Linked DNA regions of Macaca mulatta. The protein of the gene in region 1 interacts with the protein of each later gene in a biochemical or structural test. Links are inferred from orthologs where the notes say so. Each region holds a gene or a part of one and is shown on either strand. Other genes may lie near its edges. The genes, in order: HUS1 and RHNO1.

Region 1 (4,283 bases):
ATAGTGCCACAATAAACATAACGTGTGCATGTGTCTTTAAAAATAATCTAGGCCTGGCACAGTGGCTCATGCCCATAATCCCAGCACTTTGGGATTATAGCCGAGATCGCACCACTGCACTCCAGCCTGGGCAATAGAGGGAGACTCCGTCTAAAAAAAAAAAAAATTAACCTTGCCTGGTAGCTTGTGCCTGTAATCCCAACTACTCGGGAAGCTGAGGCAGGAGAATCCCTTGAACCCAGGAAGTGGAGGTTGCAGAGGTCGGAGATCACGCCATTGCACTCCAGCCTGGGTAACAGAGCCAGACTCCGTCTCAAAATCATCATCATCATCATCATCATCTGCATTGTCTTGATTCTATATGTCAAGTTAAAGACAACGGTCTAGGCTCCTATTTGCAGAGGGCATTAAAAATAACAATTAACATAGATAATCTTTAGTCTTTGAAAAACCAAATTAGATACAATTGTTGCTTCATTTCCCCCTTTAAAATTTCTTTCCTTTTAAAAAAACCTAATGACATTATTTATGCTAATAAGAATTTTATCGGATGTAATAAAGTTCATCTTGAGGCAAACTGCAGAATTACCACTTAACGTCAGTGTTCTTTAAGCATCCCGTCTTTACCAACTAGCCAGTAATATGTTAAATTTTTTAAAAAGTCATTTAAAACAGTTTTCAGAACCTTAATCAACCAAGATGCTTCAATACCAAAGTACCGGTACCGTCATCGGAGGCTAGAGGGTTTAAAGCTGCTCTACCTTAGAGAGGTATATTTAAGATAATATTGTTTAACCTTTATAAACGACTAATTTTATTTGGATATTTTTAAATAGCACTTGGAGTAGGTGTCACAAAATTCTTTCAAAACGTGAATTCTCAGAACCACCTCCCCAAATCTGGGGCTTGAAGCCACCGCCTCACTAAAAGCAGATCCCACATTACCCCGGAGCGCCGAGGCATACCCGGAGACTGGGACCCCACCTCCTCGGGGCGTGACCTGTGATCCTTGACCCGTGACCCCACCTTCTCTGGGGCGTGACCCCTGGCCCCACCACCCCAGGGGCGTGGCCCGGAGGCAATCCTGGCAAGAGCCGGGTAGCCCGAGCCGGGCGGAACCACTGTGCGCGCCGCCGTGTTTCCGGGCCGGGACACTCAGGGCGCGACACTTATCTGTTACCCACAGAAGCCGTCGCGGCTGCGGCAGGCGCGGCCATGAGGTTTCGGGCTAAGATCGTGGACGGGGCCTGTCTGAACCACTTCACACGTGAGCAGGGAGGCCGGAGGGGAGCGAGGGAGGAACGGAAGGAAGCAGTGAGCGCGCGGTGGGGACCGCGGAGGAAGATCAGAGCGGGGATGGGCGGTGGAAGGGGCAGCGAGATGAGCCGCGGGAGGGGCCGCGGGAGGATGGGGCAGGCATAGGGGTGCTGGTGGAGGCCGCGGGATGATGGGCCGGGAGTGCGCGGGTCGGATCGTAGGGCACTTGGGGTGAAGACGGCTTTCAAGGGACGTTTCTGAAACTTGATTCCGATCACGCGGCTTTAAAAGCAAGCGGCCACTGCTCCCACAGACGGCTTTATCAGGCATTGACATTCCTTCAAGGCCCCATTCGTCCCTCCACCCTGACAGTGCCTAACCTTGCATTGAACTCTGTACTGCGGTACCCAGTAGTCAATAAGTTCGTGTTAAATGAATGAATGACTAGTAGGTGCCTGTTTTTTTATTTGAGCACTGATGATGTATGCTGTACATCTCCCCGGGTTTGTTGGGAGAATTGCGTGACATCATACTTTCCAGTGTGATACCAATGTAAGTGGTTATTTTTCCACCGAGAAGTTGCACCATGATGAACAAGAAATTCTGTAAAATAAGTTGGTCTCTAGGATACATGATGTGCGTTTTAGTGATTCCTTATTTTAACCCCTGCTTTAGGAATCAGTAACATGATAGCCAAGCTTGCCAAAACCTGCACCCTCCGCATCAGCCCTGATAAGCTTAACTTCATCCTTTGTGACAAGCTGGCTAATGGAGGAGTGAGCATGTGGTGTGAGCTGGAACAGGTGAGCAAAAACTTCTGAGAGGCCTGCAATCTGCAGATTGTCTCTGGAAAGACCACAAGTGCCCTGCCTCATCCCCCATGTTTTTCCCTTAGGAGAACTTCTTCAACGAATTTCAAATGGAGGGTGTCTCTGCAGAAAACAATGAGATTTATTTAGAGCTAACATCGGAAAACTTATCTCGAGCCTTGAAAACTGCCCAGAATGCCAGAGCCTTGAAAATCAAACTGACTAATAAACACTTTCCCTGCCTCACAGTCTCCGTGGAGCTGGTGAGTAGGAGAGTCAGGGTTTCAGAAATTTCCCACAGAAGTCTTGGCTTCGAAGGAATAGACATAGTTAGCCTAGCCTCTTTAGCAATAAATATTGTTGAAAGCTATTTGGTTTATTTAAATTTAAAGAGCTGGTCCATAACTATATTTTGCATTAGAGTCAGTTCCTCCTCATTTTAAAATAGTGTTGTTATCCTATGCATTCGGCTAGACTGCTGCTTTTTCCAAGCCATAAAACTTCCAGCCTCTCTATTTCTTGTAGTGGTATTGTCACCTTGTCTAGAAATCATGGTTTCTATGCATTTTCACCGTTGACACATTTTCTCCCCACTCCTACCCTGCCTCATCTGCTCTGATAACCTTTAAATGGCCCCTCATTGTTCAGTACACATATGTTTTATATGCTACTGCCAGATGAATTTAGTGCACAGCTGTCCTCCAAACACACAAATACACAACCTCATGCGCACACATACAACCCAGAGTTGCTCTTGTTACTCATGGAATGAGGTTCGTATTTCCTTTTTTTTTCCGAGACTGAGTCTCTCTCTTGTCACCCAGGCTGGAGTGCAGTGGTGCGATCTCGGCTCACTGCAACCTCCGCCTCCCAGGTTCAAGTGATTTTCATGCCTCAGCCTCCCAAGCAGCTGGGATTACAGGCGCCCACCACCACACCCGGCTAATTTTTGTATTTTTTTAGTAGAGTTGGGGTTTCACCATGTTGGCCAGGCTGGTCTTGAACTCCTGACCTCAAGTGATCCACCTACCTCGTCCTCTCAAAGGCCTCCCAAAGTGCTGCGATTATAGGCATGAACCACCGCGCCCGACCCAACTTTTCTTCATAACTCTCGACTCTGCAGTCAGGCAGTTCTTAGAGCTAATTAGGGTATTTCATGTCACAACATAAGTTTGTTATGTTTTTCCTATTAAGGAAAAGCAAGATAGTAACGTATAATATTTTATGTCCAAAAGTGCAAGATATTTTGTTCTGCGAGTCTCATAGAAGCCCCTAGAAGTAAATATAGTTTGCCTTTTAACTGTTTAGAAACTGCAGCCCCCTGAGTGTCCTATGCCCAAAGAGTGGCCTTCTCTTGGTTGCATCAACATAGCAGGCTTGCTTCTTTCTGCCTCATGGCTTTACATGTGCTGTTTCCCCAGCCTGAAGCCCTGTCCCCTTGTTCCTGTCTTCCCACGGCTGCTGCTTTTGGTGGTATCTGAAATGTCACCTCGTCAGTCTAAGGAAACTCCCCCACACTCACTCTGGTCACTGTGGTTTGCTTTCTCACGACTCTAATGAGCATGTCATGCAATTTCATTTGTTTGCATTTTTATTGATCTGTTTGTTCCACTGGAATATTGAGGACCTTTTTGTCTTATTTACCACACTTCCCAGTTCCTGAAAGTACCCAGAGTCTGTTCCGTAAATATTGGCACCATCAATATTGGTCGAATGGCTTTTCAGTGAATAAATTGACAGCATTCCACTTAGATTTGGCATTTCAACTTTTTTGTCCTCGGGTCTTTGGGTGGTTTTGTTGTTGCTTAATATTAACAACATAAAAATATTTTTAAATTAATTCTTTTCTTGGCAGTTATCTATGTCAAGCAGTAGCCGCATTGTGACACATGACATCCCTATAAAGGTGATTCCTAGGAAATTGTGGAAGGACTTGCAAGAACCGGTGGTCCCAGATCCTGATGTAGGTGATGCCTGCAATCCTGTTGTACACCCCACATTAAATGGCATGACTTGAATTCTCTAATTTCAGTTGTAGTCTTGCAGTATATTTTATTTTTAAAGGATTCTTAAGGAAAACATTAGAATATTTGCCTTTTGTTATTTACATAAAACATCTTAAAACATGTTGCATATGATAGAAATGTCATGCCTTCCTATATGTAGAAAATGTCTCACTCAGCAACATCATTTAAAACACAACTGAAATGATACTTT
Region 2 (3,409 bases), on another chromosome or scaffold:
GTGGAAGAAACCTAAACATCAGAATCTTGTGGATGAGAGTAGGAATGAACATTTATTGAACAGTCATTATATGCCAGGTCCTCTGCTAGTTCCTCCCCCCTGTGCTTGGAGTTGGCTTTGCATTATTTACTGAGGGCCTTCTTTGTTCCAGGCATTCTGCTAGGTGCTGGGAATCAAGAACAAGACCGCTGGTCTCTACCCTCATGAAGTTTAAAGATAAGTTATATCTAGGCCAGTCATTGTGGCTCACGCCTGTAATCCCAGCACTTTGGGAGGCTGAGGCGGGTGGATCACTTGAGGTCAGGAGTTTGAGACCAGTCTGACCAACATGGCAAAAACCTGACTCTACTAAAAATACAAAAATTGGCTGGGTGCCGTGGCTCATGCCTGTAATCCCAGCACTTTGGGAGGCCAAGGCAGGTGGATAACTTGAGGTCAGGAGTTCAAGGTCAACCTGCTCAAAATGGTAAAATTCCGTCTCTACAAAATATACAAAAAGTAGCTGGGCATGGTGGTGCGTGCCTGTAATCCCAGCTACACGGGAAGCTGAGGCAGTAGAATTGCTTGCATCAGGGAGGCAGAAGTTGCAGTGAGCAGAGCAGAGTGCCATTACACTCCAGCCTGGGTGACAAGAGCGAAACTCTGTCTCAAAAAAAAAAAAAAAAAATATATATATATATATACACACACACACACACACACACACATAGCTGGGCGTGGTGGCAGGCGCCTGTAGTCCTGGCTACTCAGGAAGCTGAAGCAGGAGAATCGCTGGAACCTGGGAGGCAGAAGTTGCAGTGAGCTGAGATTATGCCACTGCACTCCAGTCTAGATGTCGGATTGAGACTCCATCCCAGGGGGAAAAACGTTATATCCCTGTGGTGTGATGAACGGAAAGAGACATCATCCCCTTTCCTACACACGAGGAAGCTGAAGGCCAGAGAGATGGAATAATTTGCCGAAAGCATCCTGTTACTATCCCATTAGACAGCTATTTTAGTTTTGTGTTCATTACTACATTAGACCCCGATTTAAGAGTCTGGTCATCAGATATAGTTTCCTCTCTTAGGTTAGTACTTAGTTAGGCTCACCTCACTTTTTTTTTTTTTTTTTAAAGGTATCACCTGATTTTGATACAACAGCAGGAAGCTTGTTCCCAGCCTACCGGAAACACCACCACCAAAACCGGGCGAGACATTCAAGTCGAAAATCTACCACCTCCAAGTTTCCACATCTAACTTTTGAGAGTCCGCAGTCTTCCAATTCAGAGACATTGGGGATCCCCTTAATCCGGGAGTGCCCCAGTGAATCAGAAAAGGATGTTTCCAGAAGACCCTTAGTTCCAGTGCTCAGTCCCCAAAGCTGTGGGGACATGTCAGCACAGGCACTTCCGAGCTTACCTTATGTGTTCATTCCACCTGATATCCAGACCCCAGAGTCATCGTCTGTGAAGGAAGAACTCATTCCCCGGGATCAGAAGGAAAATAGCCTTCCAAGCTGCTCTCTTCACACTGGCACTCCTGATAGCCCAGAGCCTGGACCTGTTCTGGTTGAAGACACCCCCGAAGACAAGTATGGAATAAAGGTCACGTGGAGGAGACGACAGCACCTGCTTGCTTACCTCAGGGAGAGAGGGAAGCTGAGCAGAAGCCAATTCCTTGTGAAAAGCTGACTGCCATCAGCAATCTCAATAGAAAAGAGACATGTTTTTTGGAGTCATAAAGGAATTCAATTCCCAGGGGTTTTTTTTGTTTGTTTGTTTTATTTTGTTTTGTATTTTGAGATGTAATATCGCTCTGTTGCCCAGGCTGGAGTGCAGTGGTATGATCGCATCTCACTGCAACCTCCACTTCCTGGGTTCAAGCAATGCTCCTGCCTCAGCCTCCCCAGTAGCTGGGATTACAGGCACCTGCCACCATGCCTGGCTAATTTTTTTGTATTTTTAGTAGAGATGAGGTTTCTCCATGTTGGCCAGGCTGGTTTCAAAATCCTGACCTCAATTCATCTGCTGACCTGGACCTTCCAAAGTGCTGGGATTACAGGCGTGAGCCACCGCGCCCAGCCGAGATTTGTTTTCTAAGATACTTTGTGTCATGAACAGTTGAGTTTAGTGTCATGAACTATTCACTTTATATTTTTCTTGTATTAACTGTTTAAATTTTTAAAATATCTTGTAGTAACTCTTTAAAATGTATGTAAGTAAATGGCTACAGAAAGTTTTTTTAGAGAATCCTGCTTCTGTCAGTAATACAGCAATATTACCCCATCCACTAAAGGTCTTTGTCTCCTTAACCACTACTTGTTAATCCTTTAATCACCTCATTCAAACCAATTCATTCTGCATTTTTGAGTACCAGCTCTTGTCAGGCTCAATGGCAGCTTCTATGAGCTGATGGATGGAAAAAAATCAAACTGTGACTCTGTGGTTGACTGCCACCTCTGCAACCTTGACTCATCTGCTGAAAAGGCAAGAAGAAGAAAGGGCAGCAAGCCCTGTTTTAGGGACTATATGAGATCAGGGAAGATAAAGGGGACGTAGATGAGTTCTTTAGGATTGCCTATGTTTTGAGTTTTTGTTTCTAACTGAAGAAATCTATCAATATTAAATAGGGTGAGAAAATGATTTCTTAGAGTAACTGTTCAACTGTGTATAAATAAATAAGGAAAGTTTTCAATGAATATTACTTATTGTAATTAATGCAGAAGGACTTCCCTAGTCAACCGAATGTCTCAGATGGCCTTTTACTCAGATAAGTACATCTCATTAAACCCCATTCATCCAGCATTCATTCAGCTGGACCTACTGTGTCAGGTCCAGCCCCAACTAGATCAAGCAGGGATTACTCTGCATATTTTACAGATGGGAATTTGACGCAGAGAATGAACCATACACAGGGTCACACAGTGAGTGCAGGCTGACCCAGGCAGTGTAACGGTCCACTCAGCGTGTGCCTCCTAAAGTTCTAACTTGTAGGTTCAAAACCAATGTGGGAAACAACTTTGACCTTAGAATGCCATAAAGCCATTTGTGCAGAGACTCGTCAGGACTTAGGATGTTCTGTAGGGATGATGTGCATGTCGGTAGGGAGAAAGGGACTGACATTTGGGGACGGGATTTATTGGAGACAGAGTACACTTTTAGACAGGGGCTTCCACTGTGGGCTATGGATGTTTGAGGAAGGCCCACAGGCTGTAGAAAGGTAGATGGAAACAGTCTCCAGGACGGGCCCATGCCTGTAATCCCAGCACTTTGGGAGGCGGAGGCAGGTGGATCATTTGAGGTCAGGAGTAAAGAGACCAGTCTGGCCAACATGGTGAAACCCTATCTCTACTAAAAATACGAAAAACAGCCAGGCGGTAGTGGTCTGTGCCTGTCATCCCAGGTACTCAGAGGCTGAGGCAGGAGAAT

What was found.
Region 2: the proteins of HUS1 (region 1) and RHNO1 form a complex in vitro, tested with the Homo sapiens proteins (2 studies listed by BioGRID). The link is inferred for Macaca mulatta from reciprocal best matches to the Homo sapiens genes HUS1 and RHNO1.

Annotation. Positions count from the first base shown.
Region 1 is NC_133408.1:80,603,692-80,607,974, forward strand, and holds the start of HUS1 (checkpoint protein HUS1), read left to right. Parts: upstream 1-1,178; 5' UTR 1,179-1,215; coding exon 1,216-1,267; intron 1,268-1,932; coding exon 1,933-2,060; intron 2,061-2,152; coding exon 2,153-2,329; intron 2,330-3,921; coding exon 3,922-4,029; intron 4,030-4,283. UniProt on the Homo sapiens protein: Component of the 9-1-1 cell-cycle checkpoint response complex that plays a major role in DNA repair. The 9-1-1 complex is recruited to DNA lesion upon damage by the RAD17-replication factor C (RFC) clamp loader complex.
Region 2 is NC_133416.1:3,787,322-3,790,730, forward strand, and holds the end of RHNO1 (RAD9, HUS1, RAD1-interacting nuclear orphan protein 1), read left to right. Parts: intron 1-1,117; coding exon 1,118-1,672; 3' UTR 1,673-2,679; downstream 2,680-3,409. UniProt on the Homo sapiens protein: Involved in microhomology-mediated end-joining (MMEJ) DNA repair by promoting recruitment of polymerase theta (POLQ) to DNA damage sites during mitosis.